Linked DNA regions of Oreochromis niloticus. The protein of the gene in region 1 purifies or fractionates together with the protein of each later gene. This does not show direct contact. Links are inferred from orthologs where the notes say so. Each region holds a gene or a part of one and is shown on either strand. Other genes may lie near its edges. The genes, in order: acbd6 and nmt1a.

Region 1 (8,837 bases):
CTCCCGGCTACATGAGTCAGCATCAATGATCAATCACAGCTGTGTTTTAAAGGATTTATTATTCGCCTTTCAGTTCTCATGTCTAATTTCTGGATCACATGCAGAGACGATAAGAGTCAATCACTGAATACAATAAAGAAAAAAGGACATATTATAGAACTCAGCTGGCTTTAATAATAGTTCTTCCTTAATATTATCAACTTAAATGTCAAATTCAAGATTATGTCCCAGAAAAGAGCAACCATAAAACCAACACTAATCACAGAGAAAATATATCATCCATCTCAGGTCAGCGAGTGCTGCACTGAATACTGGAGGTGTAAAATGGCTGGTATGGCCATGCATCTGTCCCTGGGCTTCAGTGAGCTTCAGTCTGTACATACAAAGACAACATACTGCACTCGCATGCATGTTAATCACCATTTTTTAATTTTTAAATACATTTTCCCAGGTTTACCAGGTATGCCTATTCATTTTGTCTTCCCTTTTAATTATAGTGTCCAAAGGTGTTTTCATTACACAACAATGACAGCATATCATGTTGTCAAGAGCAAGAGATCCAAATGTCTGCTGTACCAACAGACCAGCTTAACATCATCATTCAGAGCAGGATACCAAAATAAAACCAGCGCACTGAGCTTCTGTTGAGTCTGGGCTGCTGAGGGTGAAGAGAACGGGGTCTTTGTCTATAATTCATAGAGTCAAATGGAAGTGAGCAGTCTGTCCTGTCAATGCATGTCTGCACTAAAGCTCTCACTGTAGAGCCAGCAAGAAGTGGGGTGTGAAATTAAAATACTCCTCAAGTAGTGTACAAGACTCAACAACAAAAAAGCATGTGTGCACACAAAGATGTTGCTCTAAATCAACAGATATCAAAACCAGACAGGTCAGACGAAGCCCTGCAGGTTGATTCACAGACAGCTATTCCTGGTTGACTGAGAAAATGATAATAAACATCGTTTTAGTCTCAAAGTCTTGCAAAAAAAATATGCTTTTTTATTCAAAAGGCTAGCAAAAACAAAGAATGATTAGAAATGTGAAATTTTGCAACAAATTGTACTCAGTTGGTGGAAGAGATATTACCTTTGTCTTTAGTTAGAGTAATGAAAATAAATGTTAATAATTTAAGGAGGTGATTTTTGGGGGAGGGGGGGGGGGTGTCATTGGACAAAGAGCGTCTTTTATTATTATTTTTTAACAATGCACCATCAGTTAACATGATGATAAAAAATGTGACAAAACAAAAAGAAATGTTGAAAATTGAGTTGTTTTGCAAAGAAATGTGAAAAATAAACACAAAGACAATCTTCAATTTTTAGTTTTGTATAAAGCTCTCCATAATATTTTTATTTAAATTTGTTGAAATAAAGAAAAAAATAATAATTTTACTTATTTTTCACAGTATGAAAAAACGTGTTTTTTTGTTGTTGTTGTTTTTTTAATCAAACAGTTATTTATGTTAATTTTCATATGTGTTAAAATCAACAAACAGCAATAACAAACGCTGAATGCTCCCCATGGCTCTTAACAACCGCAGTCAATTTCCCCTCCATAAACAATAGGCATCCCTTATCTTTCCCGTCGTTTATTGCCCTCAGGAGCAGGCTTTACTGAAACTGGGAAAAATAAATCAAACTTAAAACACTTTACATTTTTCCCTTAGTTAATCGCGACTCTTTTCTTCCAGTTTCCTTATGCACTATGAAAGCAGCTCCGTTTTGGTCAACGTCCGTTTCCACCTCAAATTCATTTTAAATAAACATAAATTCTGCTGTACCTCATACTGAAGATACTGTTTCCTCCACTCTGGAGTGATATGGGACGAAAGATGCTCCGCGAATTTCATTTTGCCGGAACAAGTGTCCCCCTCAAAGCTCTGTTAAATCCGAGCGCGGCTGTCCCCTTCCCCGTCGACGCGACTTTTATTATATCAGTCAACTTGCTGGCTCAACATGCGGCGCGTCAGCCCGGCACACTGCGCTCCTGCTCACTCCACTTCTGGCTCGTCCCGGTCTGCGCACTCCCAGCAGATCCCGTCCCACATACTATTTCATGGGAGGGACAACGAGAACAACAACAGTGGCCTCCGTTTAACAGGTGGTCGGGCGACAGGTTACTGGAGCCGGTGAAAGTGGCTCAGTGACTTTGCTCGGTCCCTCCCTGGGCAAGTCTGGGGACACTGCGGTCCGCCATCGCTATGAACCACTGTGACGTGGTTGCGTCAGCAGAGCGCGCAGTGTAACTCGGACACTGTTGGGACCTCGTGAAAACTGTTAGTGGTGCACCCTAGGACCCCCTCACCGTCTTCGCTTCACTTTGTTTCCTTTGGGGTTTTGTACAGTAGTTAGAAAGCCAGCTGTCAGCTGTGCGTGTCTACAAAAAGAAGAAGGAACAAAGTTAAATATATATTTAAACTGATCAACCAACAGTAATAACTCGTTTAAAAAATATACAGTTATTTCTTTAACTAATACGTGTCTGTGAGGCTTATCTCTCTGTCGTGTGAAGAAAAAGTAGACAATATGGCAGAAAGTCACGTAGACAACAAATTATACGCACTGATGCTTAATGTAAGCTGCTTGTAGCTTTCGGTCTAAAAACAGGTTTACAAGAACACGATAACAGGCTACCACTAGCTTCGTAAAACGATATTCATTAATACTGTTAATATACTGGGAAGTTCCCCGTGTTTACCGCATATGAAGTAGAACAGAAACAGAAAGATACGAAGCAGAAATAATTTGGAAGTTGAGCTTTTACTCAAAGAGAAAAAAAACGTTTAATTTAATAAAAACGTCATCGATTTAAGCTCAGGCTACTCGATTATTTCTCAGCTGAATCCATTTTCGTCCGGGTGAACGTGGTGAGCGAGATCATGTACTTGGGATAAAAAGTGCCAGACGCAAAAATAAAACATCTTTGTGTTAATAGCACCATCTGCTGGACACGATGTGCTAATACATTGTTGTCACAAAGAGTGCTGTGGCAGGTGTCGCAAACATTCAGGTTGATTAATATGTGCTGCAGTAGAATCCAAGTAGAATTTAAACATTTATTTAAAAAAAATCTGGTGGACAGAAAAACGTCGTTAAAAAGTTTTAAATTGAGGCCCTTTAAGGATTTTTGTACCCGAACGAATGTGACCGGAGTTTGCTTTAGAACTTTGATTTTATGCTATTTATTTATCCATAACTATTGTTGCAATTCATTACTGCTCTTTTTAAAAATTATTCTTTTTAAACTGTATTTATTATTTTTGAACTGTATTGCTTATTGCACTGGAGAGGCTGTTGAGAAACAGTATTTCGTTTCAGGCTGGGTGACACCATCCCAAATGACGATAAACTTCTTGAGTCTTGAGTCTTAAAATTAGGCTATTACCTTCTTGTCTGTAGTTATCCTAATGTTAGGATAATAAGAGTCCCTATAAAATAGAACCCATCGCATGCAGACTTCACACACAAAAATGTTCTACCAGGAAATGTCTGTGATGAATATACAGTACTGCGCAAAAGTCTCGAGAATGGATAAAGAATGGACGGATTGTTCATTCCCTACATTTTTCTTCCAAGTTTCCAGACCCTCATTTTTAGGCACTGTGTTACTAACAGTCTGTCACAAAAACACAATTTGTTCTATTTTGTGAAAAATGTCGAAGCTAACACAGTTTGACGGATATCTCGACTAGGTACCAACAAGGTGATTCCTAAAAACGTTGCATATCTCAGCATGGTGAGCAGCATGTTTGTTTTGTTTTGTTTTGTTTTGTTTTGTTTTGTTTTGTAAGGAGGAAGAAAAAACGGAGGAAAACGGAGAAAACCCGGACAAATATAGGACAATAAGTGGCAAGAAGGGAAAAAAGTCCAGGAAAGACCTGACACGGGACCTGATAGAAGCATTTGGCCCTGCAGCTGAAGGACCATTAGAAATGATCTCTGTATAATAGCGGCTGCCAAAAAGACACCGAGGAAAGGCTGAGGTGTGCCTTATTATTACTTAAGAACTAGGAAATAGACTCGACTCTTGTCAAATGAAACTGCGAAAACAAAAAAGTACCATCCCATTTTGATCCACCTTGCCTTAGCGCGACAGAGAACAGAACAACAGGCAGCCAACATCCAAAGAAGAGCTTTGAATGTCCTCCAAAGCCGGGAGAACTATTGCTGAAGAGTACTTACAGAAATGACGAGAAAGCTTACTACAGGGATTTCGGGCTATGAGGAATAACTGTGTTCAAAACAAATATTGACTTTCAAAGTCATTAGAATGGAACAGACTTTGATTTTGCCTTATAAGCTTTATTTTGATTTATCTTCGCAGATTTCTTTAATCAGTTGCTGTACCCAATTCCAATTTTCCAGCAAAATATAAAGAAATGGGTTAATGGCTGTCTCGAAATACAGTACTTTACGTAGTTTTTTAAATTATTATTATTTGAGGAGATTTCAATAAACATTTTTCCACCCAAAGTATCAACAAACCCACCGCAAGCTACTTTAGCGCTCGAGTTTTTCCTGGTTGCTGTGTAGGTTGCTATGTCACGTTATCGTAGGTCAAATAATAATATATATTATCTGGCTAACTTAAATACTTTATTTTCATTTAGAAAATATTTAGTTTTTGTTTAATCATTCATAACAAATATACAGAAAAGCGCGTGTTCGCGTGTTTACTTGTACCGGAGTCGGAACCTTTCTTACTAACAGCGATTTTTTACCGGCGCTTTTAAATTGACAGTACCAGACACGGACCTACGGCAGAAACAGATCCGACTGTCACGGATTTGCTACGATAACGGATTAAAATCCAAGTCTTTGCTGAAACACTTTGCAGACATAATATAAATAACAGGCAGCTGCTCTCCGTGCGCTTCTCAGCGTTTCTCACGGAGATCCGCGGCTCCCGTCGTTTGAGACGCTATAAACAATAATAACAATGGCTTCTGGTTCGCCGTCGTCCTCTCCGGACACCGCGACGGGCTCAGGTACGGATCCAGCCCGGCCCGACACAGGAGAGCCCCTCGGTGGAGCAGGCTCGGACTCGGATTCGGACTTGGGTTTGAGTAAATTTGACTGCAGCGCCATGGAGGTGGGGGACCGGCTGGAGGGAGAAGAGCTGGAGCGCGAGTTCGAGTCTGCCGCCGACCGCGTAAAAGACTTGATACAGACGGCCAGCAGGGACCAGCTGCTGTACCTGTACGCTCGCTACAAACAGGTGATTGTACGGTTAAATGTCACTGTGTGTGTGTCGGCCACACTCGAGCCTTCAAGTAGTTGCACCACGCAGCTTTAGACGGGACACCCCCACATGCCATGAATCTCAGCATTTATGTGACTCCTCTGGTATTTAATCGAGTCAGGCTCACAGCTGCAGGTGACATTAAATCAGATATGTAATGTGATTTTGTATCTATAGGTCAAAGTGGGGAAGTGCAATACACCAAAACCTGGTTTCTTTGACTTTGAAGGACAAAGAAAATGGTAAGTAGCCCAGATTTCACTTTGCACATATTTTTAAAGCCTTATAGGTCAAGTAAGTCAATTCAGTTCACTTTTACTTAAATGGCACCAAATCACAACAGCAGACGCCTCATTGTAAGGTAAAGAACCTTCAATAATAAAAAGAAAACTCCAACAATCAGACGACTCCCTACGAGCAAGCACTTGGCAACAGTGGGAAGGAAAAACTCCCTTTTAAACAGGAAGAAACGTCTGGCAGAACCAGGCTCAGGGAGGGGCAGCCATATGCTGTAAGGGAAACCAGTAATGTGTTTCTATTTTAGATTCTAATTCAAGTGTGTCTGTGAGGGCAACAGATAGCACCCATGATGGGATCCATGTTCAGATGCTTGATGAAGAAAAATGTTTCTGCTACTTAAAATAAACCACTATTCACAAACAACCTGTCCTCTTGCAAAGTATTAAAATGGTTCCACGCAAGTCAGTGAATCTAATAGTTCTATTTTCATGTTTTAGTTCACGGGGTGTGAAAATCTTTAACGGTCATTACTTTTGTAATTGTGATATCATAACAGGCAAGCCTGGAAGCAGCTTGGAGACATGGATCAGGAACAAGCAATGCAAGAGTATATTTCCTGTGTCAACATCTTAGACCCTGAAGGCAGCACAAAGGTAATTCCTGAGAATTTATTTTTAATCCTCATTTTGATTCCAAACTGAAGCAGAGGTGGGTTAATGTTCCTAAGGGGCCATACGAGAAACTGGGACTGTTGTGGAGGGTCACCAGTAAGTTTATAAAGAGATCAAATTAACCTTTTTATTGCAGTGGATCTTATGATAACATAGATTATAAAACATTAATTATACATTTATAACAGTTCATTTGCTTTCAGCTCAGCCTTTACTGCAGCAGTTTTCTTTGTGGTAATAATCTGATTTTATGGATGACGATCCTTTTGTAGAGAATGGTAATTGTTGAATGTCAATGTTAGTATTGCCATTCATCATGCTCCTTATGACTTTTATGGTCTTGGTTTTGAATATATGTAGAAAGAGTTTCTGGTGCTCGTCACTTTATACATTTTCTGGTTATGTGGTCGTCTGAAGTGTTTGAAAAGAAGGCAACTAAACCTTTTGCTTCTTGAAGATGTTTCACCTCCCATCCAAGAGGCTTCTGCTGTTCTAAAACAAGAGATTGAGAGTTTCAGGTATCTGACCCCTAGAAGAGGCTGTCCTCTTGGAGGTGGTAGTGATCCTGTGGGTCTTCATATGAGCCCAGGCCTGAAAAAAGGCGTGGGTCATTGTCACCAGGGGTCATTCACAGTGGACATAGATGGGCTCCTGTACTCCTTTCTCAAATAATCTGTGAAAAATCTGAACATTGGCATCATTGAAGAGTGTCCTTTCCCCTTTAAGAGAAGGTGTACAGCTGAGTCTTGACTGATGTGACTTTCTTGTTGTGCCATGCGTCTGTGGAGTCTTGTTTCTCTTACGTAAAGGTCCGAGCACTCCTCACATGGTACACTACGCTGTTGAGCTTGTGTTCGGGGGTGAACTAGTTTTTGTCTGAGGGTGTTGCTGGATCAGAAGTGCACTGTGATGTTTATGCGTAGAGAAAATTCTGAGTTACTTACCACATAAGGAACAACAGTGTCATTCTGTTTCTTCCTGGTTGTTATTTATTTCTGACTAATACTTTATATACCTGATAACAAAATCTGGAAATGTGCATGAACTAAAACAAACCTTTAAAGGTAAGATGTCTGAAATTAGGATAAAAAGGATGACGGATATACAACAGAACCATCCGTGTCATTGGTGTGCCCTTAAGGTGAAGTACCGGGTGTTTACCAGCAGGTGTCACTGTCACATTGTCATTTTGTTGAAACCGTGTTGCAGCTCATTTTCTGCACATTACAAAGAAAAATAAGCACTTTGTGCAGTTTTGCTCAGTGGCTGATATTTTGGAATAGTAATTATTTAAGAAATGTTAATATTAAGGCTGTTGGGATGTGGTAATTTGTATAGTGACTGTTTACATCTCTACACTCTTATTCGTCTGTGTCAGGAGAGTTGCCTTAAACATGTTGTTCTTTGGGACAACATTAGGTTTCAACACCAACCTTGGATGGTTTGCAGTAATGGAGTATGCTCTTCATACTGATAAAACACTCATTTTTATACTTTGTTTTATAGATGATCTGAAACTTGGAATGATAAAGTTTGTTGCAGCAGTGAGTGAGCACCAGTGTCACAGTTTAGTGTTTACACTCTCCGATAATCTATTAAAGTCACTGTTAGATATTGGGTATCTTATGCTGCCTTTGCTGATAATAGCTTTGGCCCGAGGAATTCTGTTTATGGCTCGTCTGTTCTTCCATCCTTCTTTTGTCCGTTTGGGAACCTGATATCACAGGAATGCTTTCTTCATGTTTGGCACAAACCTCCACTTGGACTGAAGTGATTAGTTTAGTGGTCAAGGTTACTGTGACCTCTCAAAACACATTTGACTCGATTCATATTTTCATTCATATACAATTCGTGTAGTAACGAGGACTAAATGTAACACAAATCTTTAATAGGACAAAGCTGATGATATTTTATATTCCAAAACTCAAATGTTCACAATGAAACACAAAACATGTCAAATGTTTAAACCGAGAAAATGAACCATTTTAAGAAAAAGCTTATTTAAAATTTGACGGCACATATTAAAAAAATAAATAAATTGGGACAGATCCATGTTTACCACAGTGCAGAATCCCCTCTTCTGTTAACAACAGTGTGTAAACATCTGCAAACTGAGGAGACCGGCTGCTGGACTGTAGGGAGAGGATGGCGTCCCGTTCTTTCATTCTGTTTGTTTGTTTGGTTTTTTGGCTTTTTTTTTTTTTTTTTTTTTTTTAAACGGTTCAGCAGTGAAGAGTAGACTAGAAAAAAGGGGGAGAGCGAGCAGGGGAAGACACTCAGCAAAGGGTCCCAGGTTTTACTTGAACCCGGGCTGAAGGGCGTCTGCTCAGCTGGTGCACTTTGTCTCACTCTTGTCTGATATAAGATTCTAGCTGCTCAGCGGTCCTGGGTCTTTGTCATATTCTTCATCTCATGAAGCTCCAAATGTTTTCAGTTTGGGAAACATCTTGACTAAAGGCAGGCCTCTTCAGCATCTGGACTCTTCTTAGATCATCATCGTCTTCCAGAAATATGCACGGCCGTCCCTGAAAGAAGCTCATCTGGATGGGAGCATGTGTTGCTATAAAACCTACATACACACCTTTCAGCCTTTCCAGATGTGCAAAGCACCCATCAGTACTGAAATCCTGAAACCATCATGTTCCAGCGGCACAAATGCGCTCGTTACAATCACAGATGCAGGATTTT
Region 2 (8,837 bases), on another chromosome or scaffold:
AAAAGATACGAGACAAAGTCATCTTAAAAAGTCAAGAGCACCAAATTTAAAAACAAAACAAAAACAACAACAACAACAAAAACACATTTCTACAGTGAACATTTGACAAAAGGACAAAAATCGGACTGCAGCTATACTCTGACCAAACAACAAGCACTTCATCATAAACAGTCACATAATTACTGAGAGGAAAAACTTGGAATAAAAACAAAAATCCACTAGTTTCTTAGCAAAATGAAGTGCAAAGCACCACGAGTCCAGGACTTGTTACTGAAAGATGAATTCCTCCTGTGCATGCTTGCTGTGAGTGTTTGTGTTTATACGCTTTCTTACCACAGCGGGGTTCCCCAGGTCGAGGGTGTCCCAGCTGAAGCCCTGCGGGAGGCTGTAGGGCTCTTCTCGAATGTTGTCTTTGTCAGGTTCAATGGAGCCGTGTGATGTCACCGTCTCCCCTGAAGGAAAAGCAAACAGAAGTCTGACAAAGCACAAAAACCTGCAAAACATATACACTTGTCTTTCAGACCGTCACTCTTAGAAGACCAGAAAGCAATGGTACATATCCACTGGCCACTTCATTAGGTACACATTTCCAACATTTATGCAAATCTCTCATCAGCCCTTTACCTGACAGAAACTCTGTGCATGTAGGCAGGTAGACATTGATAAGATGACCTGCTGAATTTCAAACCAAGCAGCAAAATGGGGAGGAAAGCTAATTTAGGTGACTATGACTGTAGTACGGTTGTTGGTGCTGGATGGATTGGTCTGAATATTTCAGAAACTGCTGATCTACTACTGATTTTCCCCACAACCATCTCTAGGACTTAAAGAGAATGGCCAGAAAATTAGAAAATATCCAGTGAGTGGTAGTTATTTGGGACAAAATGCTTTGATGATGTCAAAGGAGCATAGAGCCAGGCTGCTTTGAGCTGACAGAAAAGCACCAGGACCTCAGTTAACTACTTTTTACAACAAAAGTATGCAGCAGAGCATTTCTGAATACACAACAGTCAAACCTTGAAGCAGACTACAGTGGGTGCCACTCTTGTCAGCTACGAACAGAAGACTGTGGCTAAAATTCAGCTTACCAAAACTGTAGAACAGAAGACATTAGAAATTTTGCCTGGTTTGATGAGTCCTAGTTTCTGCTGTGACATTCGGATGGTAGGGTCAGAGTTTGGCATAGATTTATGTTGCCAAAAGCTCAGGACACTGGCAGTGAAGCAACAGTGTGGGGAAAGCTTTCTTGGCCAGATTGGTCCCCTCAGAATAAAACAACATTTAAACTCCACAGCCTTCCTGAGTACTGTTGCTGACAATTTAATTCCCTTTATGCCCACAATGTACCAATCTTCTGATGGCTGCTTCCAGTAGGCTACCATGTCATATAATAAAGGTCAAGTAATCGCAAACTGGATACTTGAACATGAAATGAGGTCAGTGTACTCAAATGGCCTCCCAATTCACCAGACTGCAAACAAAAAGAGCACATCTGTGGTGTATTGAAATGGGAGAAATGCATGTGCAGCTGACAGTTCTACAGCAACCGTGTGATGTCATCATGTCAATATGGCCGAAAATTTCTGAGGAATGTTTCCAGCACATTTCAAGTCTACGCCATTAGGAATCATGGCAGTTCTGAAGGTAAAATAGGGTCCAATTCAGTACTACCATGGTGTACCTAACAAAGTGGCTGATGAGTATGTTGCATCCTCTTAACCATGCCCAATTACTGATTCCTTTCACAATTATAGACACATTTCATCAACAGATTGCAAAATAATGCTTTTGTACTGAGCTTTTGCATACTTGAGTCATAAGTACAAGCCTTTTTTCCTTCTGTTCACTCTGTGTTAACTGACCATCTGTGTAAGCCCACTTGCAGAAAAACCCCCAAAACAACAACAACAAAAACATTATTTTATCAATCCCTAAAGATTTGACCTATAAGCTACATATTGGCATGAAAAACAGAACTACGCCATCTGTAACCATACCTAGTTTGGGCACAGGCTGTGTGTCCCAGAACTGGTAACTCCTCCGAGTGGCCTCCTCCATGGTTTTGGCTGGACCTTGGCCAACAGAGAACAGTTCAATGGCCTTTTGGATCTCCTGTAGCTTATCAGCTGGCAACGAATTCACCTGTTTGGGAAGTAAACAGGAATATACATCAAACAAGACCACAGCAAACAGAAGTCAACACTGTTGATCCTATCTAAACAGTCCAAACAGTCTTTACCATTCTGTATCTAAACTGTGATTTTAGTAGATTACACCTTAACTGGACTGTTTTTCCTTTCTTTTTAGGTTAGGTTTATAACCCGTTAAGACAGAAATGCATAAGTTCATGCCTTGGCAAGGGGGTCCTGAGCTGCTTCTGTGGCACCAGATTTCTTCTTCTTTTTCTGCTTCTTTTTCTTCTTCTTGGCGCCAGTGTCGTCCCCAAGACCCCTCTCACTGGAACAGGACAGAAATATATGGCATCCTTTTTAAGACTGATCTCAGAAGAAAAGAAAATCATGTTGGAAATTTATTTTTTGCAATCTGCTTTTAAACAACAGCCAAGATTATTAAACCACCGACAATTCCAACACAATTTACTTTTCATTGCTGATGCAAAGCCTTGTTAGCTGAGGAGTAGCTGTGTGTTTAAACTAACAACAAGAAGTGTAGCTGTAGGGCAGCTAAAGACACAATAAAACCAGTCCTTCAGCTAAAACATACAGAAATTTACAACTCGTTTGCAGCAGTGCAGATTTTCAGAATAACCCTCTTCTGATCTGCTCCAACCAGAAAAGCCACATATCTCCAGCATGCTACTTCATCTTCTGGCAACATACTTACACAAGATAATCTCATTAGTGTCCAAGAGGGGAGAAATGCAGGCCAGTACGTGGCCTGTATTTGTAACACCAGCACAGATGGTGAATCAGATGACATCTAGAAGAAGAGTATCTGTGCGTGTGTGTTTATGTACTGTATGTACAAGAGCCCAGCAAGTGACTGGAACAATGGACAACAAAACATTCAATGGTTTGTTCTCCCACTTTCCATTTCAACAGGGTAGAGCAGTTAAGGGGCCAAACAATTGTTTCTGAGTGCAGGAAGGTTCAAAGACCTGCAGGGGGAATATGTTTAGCCATACAGCAAAGTGGGTTTGAGGTAGAATTCTGCAACATTAGGTTTATTCTTTTCTCAGACTTTATCATTATTCCCTTCTTTGTGTCTTTAAAAACGTAAACGTGTGGCTGTCGGGTCAGATTTCCTCCAGTTAGTGATCAGATTTTGCGAAAACCACCTTACAGAGGCGCATTCTTGTTCTGCTAAAAACAAAGCTCGGCTGCTTTGCCCTTTCATATATGACACAACTTTTTTTTTAAAGATACATTAAGAGAAAAACAGGGTTTTTATCAAAGCTTGTATTCAATAAGAGCAACCGAGCTGGGCTGCTTTAAGATCGCGAACATTTATGTGATTAAAAAGGAAATTCAAAGCCCTCACTTCACAACGCCGAGACCCAAGTATATTATTTTTAAGCTGCGTGCTTTTTGCATGCACGTTTGTGCTTGTTTCACTTTTGATCTTGCGCCGAATCCACACACACACACACACACACACACAGACAATGCCAGGTACGCTAGCATGCAAGCTAACACGCTACATGTCAGCTGGCGTAAACGTGATTTGCATCATTTACCCTTAACATAGCAACGGCATGCGAAGAACACCATAAAAAAATCAACTTAATTAAAAGTTTATTTTTTCTGAAAGGTTTGTGAGTAACGAAAACACAAGTCTTGGTGTAAAATTGGCTTCTAAACGCACTTTACCTTCTCCTTTCTAACCATATACTTAGGAAAACGCTAAGTCCAGCCTATATTTGGAAAAGACATCCTTCTCAGCCAATCGGATGAAAGAACAAGCAAGCGAACGTTGCTACTAACCAATAGGATGAAAGAAAATGGGCTGGACGACGTCTAAGGATGGCCGTCTATCCCGACTGCTCGCCGAGGTTCAGTTTAAGTTAATTTTGTTAAAATCTACAGAGCCGCGACGTATTTTACGCCACCGACCGAGTAAGCCTGCCTCCTTACCCATCGTCAAAGTGGTGCTCTTCATTTTCACAGTCGCTGCAGTGTCCGTGATCCTCTACATCTTCTTTCTCCGGCATCGGTGCTGTCTCATTCTCATCCGCCATCTTCAACCAGGAAGTGAGACGCCACCGCGTGCCCCTTGACACCTTTAAAACAGCCTCGACGCTATTGGCTGAGACACGCAGTGGAGGCGTAGCCATGGTCGTCCTGTTTTTTACCCGACCATTTCCAAATATTTACGATAAACAAATGGCTCGTAATGGAGCGGGCACGGCTTATCGTTTTAAAGCGTCCATTTTTAAGTTTTCACAGCCACAGTAAAAATATATTTTTTGTGTATTTAATATATTTTTCCCTCTAAAGACAAACAGCCATGTGACGTGCATACAACCCAAAGGCAAATGAAAGCGCTTAAGTGGAAACACGTGTGTGATAGTGCAGCTTGAAAGAAAATCTGAGGCCTAATAAATTAATATTACAACAGGGTGAGTAAGAAGGTAAAGTCATGCTCAGACTTAGGAATTGAATGAGACCAACTGAGCAGATTAAGCATTGTGGCGTTGATATTTCTTATTTGAAAGCCAGTTAAAAGGCACTAACAGGTAAAAAATGTACATTAGCTGTTCATTTACGTAGTCTGCGTAATGATTAGCGCCTCCAAAGCAGCCAAAACCTTTTAGGTCCACATCTTATTTATTTTCATAATAATGGGGGCATTAAAGAACCCAGTTTTTGCATGAAGTAAGCTAACGGGACATTCTTCCATTCACGTTTTGCATGAATATATTACAAGTAGTGACACGGTGTTTAATAATGATTACTACAGAAATGGAGCTACAGCTACAGCACCAACACTTGGACAAAATACCCATAGAGCTGCAACATGCACAGTATAAGAAATCATGGCAGTCACATGAGACGATAACATGTGACTGCCAAATAATTTGCTAATAATTATTTCAGAGAGCCGTGTGTGATTACTTTTTATTAGCAAGTCAACATTTTGACCTAGATATCAACAGGGACTATATTACTATATTTGAGGTGTATTTTTGAACCATTTTTGCTGATGTTAAAAACATGTCTGTCATGATTTTAGCGTCAACTTAAGACTTTTTACCAACGTTTTTCTTGAGGGAAAAAACTAATACTGACTTCCTCCCTTTTCTGTTGTTGTGGTGTTGCTGAGTGTCATTCACAACACACTGTGTGTGTTTTTGTATTTAATTAAGTTTACCACAAAATATTCAGTGGGTGGATTAGCTCATAATTCATAGAGATGCTTGGAGACAAAAAGAAGTCCAGTTGTTGGAGAAATTGCTGCCATGCTGTATAATGTGAAATGTCATAAATATTGCTAAGAGTTTCCCTTTTTTGTCTTTACTTTTGGCCTAATCAGGCAGGGACATATCTATTGATAGTTCTAATGTTGGAATGTAAAGATTTATTATGTTTTAGGCTGACAGTTTTAGATTATCACAGAAAAGTCAGACAAAAATTCACAGTACAACCTTCTGGTTATGCATTTATTAAAGTGTCAGGTATCCACAGACAACACTGTGGACTTTTGAAACTAAAAAAGACACTTGTATCTTTTGACAGCATGTGAAAAAAAAATGTTAGAAGTGCTTTATAAAAACATTTTTCTTGCAAACATAACCACTCAAACGCATCCCACAGCTTCTATATTAAACATTAAGAGAGCAAAGTTTTACTTCACTCACTATTAAACACATATTACATTCTCCTCAAAACCAGCGTGACCATTAAAAATGTAATTACAGTAATTACTTTTCATCGCTGGACCATTTTATTATCAGTGAACCTCCTTATAAGAGTATTAAAAGATTCACTGTAGCCTGGAGTAATTAGTGGTTGTATTAGATTGATGCAATTAGTTTTTAACCAGCATTTTTTCTAGATCTGAATACAAGGACAAAAATTGACAAAATGAAAGAAGCTTATATGGAAATACTGTATCGTTAAAATTCAAATATGATTTTAAAAAAGCACATTTGAACGTATCTGAAATGATGCTAAGATAAAATACAAGACATTTAAGAAAAAAGCTTATCTTTGCAAGTTAAGCTTGTCATGTTCTACTGGAAGATGTGAGAACATGTTAACATTTGTCTTCCAGAGAGAATTTAAAAGTGCCCAGATATCTGGAGTATCGAGTACTTGTACATAGCCAACATGGGCCACGGGGCCCTGGCGCACTCACTAACACAAAATTAAATCTGTATTACATCACAGTTAATGCTGCCAATAATAACATCTAAAACACTGACATTTATGGATATTGTCAAACACAGTTACTTACGCTTGGTTTCCATCTCATTGCAATTCTTTTATAGCATCAGTTTAAGAAGTGCTATTTTACTTCAGCGATCATTATTCTTCAAGTTTAAAAAAAAACACGTTAAAAAATAAAATGGTGACATAAAATAAATGATTTTCATTCTCTCTAACAGTCCCTTTTCTGTGTTTTTTAATGAATTACAGTCACCAGAGGGCATGTCTCCATTTCTGACAGACACCTTTCTTTAAGCACTGGGAAGTGGTTTTGTGTAAATTGGACCACTTGGGGTCTGAACTGTAAGACAACAGCAACAGCAGCATTCTGTCTCTGTCTGTTTACACTCGGAGCTCCTCCTTCCAAGGTCCTTCATTGTCCAGATGTCTGATTGTCTTGTTCAGATGTGTGTCACGCTTTGCCTTTGGCAGCGGCAATACGCTCAGCCATAGTTTTGACAGGAACACCTCTGCGAGTCACTTTGACATGGATAAAGAGTGTAGCAGGAGAAAGGCTGGAACCATCTGCCTTCAGTAAGTGAATATGTCGATAACCTGGGTGGGGAGTATGACACATATTAAAAAGAACAGCCGAGAGTGAAGAACTGATACATGACTGACTTGTAGACTAAATCTTAATAAGCACCTATGCGAAAGCTTGTAAAAGGTAAAGTGAACTGCCCCACGAAGTCATTTTTGGTAGCATGATCGTGGTCCTCCACTACAAACCGCACCAGGGCCAGCTCAGGGACCTGCAGCTGGAAGCTCAGAGTACAGTCCCAGCGAGGGTTGAAACCTGCAGAGGGCGCACAAGAGCTGTAAATACACCATCTGGTGCATTAAACCTTTCAAACAAACTAATCATGGCATTGGATTGAAAAGACTCCTACACAAATATATATTCCAAGATTTGAATAAGGTACAAAGAAGCTTTCGGACATCATCTCTTGTCTCCTGTCGCTGCATTATAAAAGTAACACTAATTTACAGAAATTTAAATATTCATAGATAACGAAGATATTATCAATCTGCAAAGAAAAAAAATCAAATAAATTTCTTAAAAAATTTTTGTTGTTGTGGATAAAAAAATAAAACTTACCATTGTTGTCAATGCGGTGGGTTTTTTGTTTTGCTTTATCAATAGCCACCCCATGAATTTCCACCCACACTAGTGGATCCACAATGGAGCTCGCCTTCTCTGTGTTGATTTTTGGCAGCTGTTGTGCAGATATTATCTGAAAAAGCAAAACATAATTCATCATTGTGTGCATGAAATTATCATTAGAAATGTATAAAAAAAAGTCTATTGGAGGCAACTTTTTTGCAAAATCCGAAATTGCAAATTGCGCTAACAGGGCTCGACTGGATAGCACACAATAGCTCTATGTTTAGACTCTAGTTTAGACATAAGGGAACTCTTCCAGAGGAACAACAGAGGATGGCCTCTCTATGATAAAAATGTAAGTATGGACAGTAATAACAAGAACTAAATGACACTACGAAAAATAAACTTGCCACAAAAAGGAAGGAAACTTCCTTTTTCTTCTAACAATGCTTCTTAGCAATAAATTGTATACCGTTGGAAAGCTTCTTTATTTGTCTATAAAAAAAACAACACATACCAGGGGCCTCACAACAGCCTAGTACCTCCTCCTCATGTTGGTGACCAGCTTGGTCGCACACTGCTGTGGGATGGGATGACATTTTTCAACCAGCATTTACTGCTGTTAAACTACCAGTATGTCTTGTTTCTTCAGAATTCAATTATCCAATCCAATAAATGACACCAAACAAGAGTTAATAGCAGAATAAGCTGTTTGGCATTGGCAGAGAAGATTTGGCAGGTTTTTCATGAGTGCAACCCACATTCTCAACACTACTGCTCAACCCACAAATGCATTTTCCTTACAAATTGGTATTCTTCCAGTGGTATATACGATTTATTACAAAGAAGAATTGTTACCACAAAGAAATAATTAACCAAACACTAACTTCCTTACTTTTTATGTTAAGCTTAGAACAGCGGTAGAGAAATTGTACTATAACGTCTATGTCCTCCTTAACAGGTAGTCACATCTGAACGAAACTTTGGAAAAACTTCATCACATATATAGCGGTTATTAAAATCTATATGCTTTAAAAAACGATGGTGAATTCACATTCTTTGGATTTTTGTGTATCTAGATAAATATAATGTTAATTTCATCATCCCCCTGTAAATGTGATCCTTAGTAACAGTTACTCACTCGTATAGTCAGCTGAGTGGGGGTATGACCGGGGCCTCCTCCCGTGTTTTCTGGGTTAAAGTTGGATGTGGGACTGCACAGGAAGCTGGGTTTGAGGACGTATCCACAGCGACCATTTACAAGGAAGCGACCCTGGTTCAGGTCCATTTGCTCCCCGGCCGTCTGGAAGTTTAGAGCCACTTAATGGCACAAAGAGGAAAGT

What was found.
Region 2: the proteins of acbd6 (region 1) and nmt1a purify together in Homo sapiens (co-immunoprecipitation; 3 studies listed by BioGRID and IntAct, with this or other methods). This does not show direct contact. The link is inferred for Oreochromis niloticus from reciprocal best matches to the Homo sapiens genes ACBD6 and NMT1.

Annotation. Positions count from the first base shown.
Region 1 is NC_031986.2:44,137,394-44,146,230, reverse strand, and holds the start of acbd6 (acyl-CoA-binding domain-containing protein 6), read left to right. Parts: upstream 1-4,725; 5' UTR 4,726-4,935; coding exon 4,936-5,214; intron 5,215-5,415; coding exon 5,416-5,480; intron 5,481-6,034; coding exon 6,035-6,131; intron 6,132-8,837. Other genes in the region: xpr1a (xenotropic and polytropic retrovirus receptor 1a), read right to left, coding at 1,778-1,846. UniProt on the Homo sapiens protein: Binds long-chain acyl-coenzyme A molecules with a strong preference for unsaturated C18:1-CoA, lower affinity for unsaturated C20:4-CoA, and very weak affinity for saturated C16:0-CoA. Does not bind fatty acids. Plays a role in protein N-myristoylation.
Region 2 is NC_031969.2:27,688,088-27,696,924, reverse strand, and holds the start of nmt1a (glycylpeptide N-tetradecanoyltransferase 1), read right to left. Parts: upstream 4,310-8,837; 5' UTR 4,295-4,309; coding exon 4,095-4,294; intron 2,458-4,094; coding exon 2,352-2,457; intron 2,143-2,351; coding exon 1,998-2,142; intron 453-1,997; coding exon 334-452; intron 1-333. Other genes in the region: plcd3a (1-phosphatidylinositol 4,5-bisphosphate phosphodiesterase delta-3-A), read right to left, coding at 6,802-6,944, 7,036-7,185, 7,489-7,624, 8,636-8,814.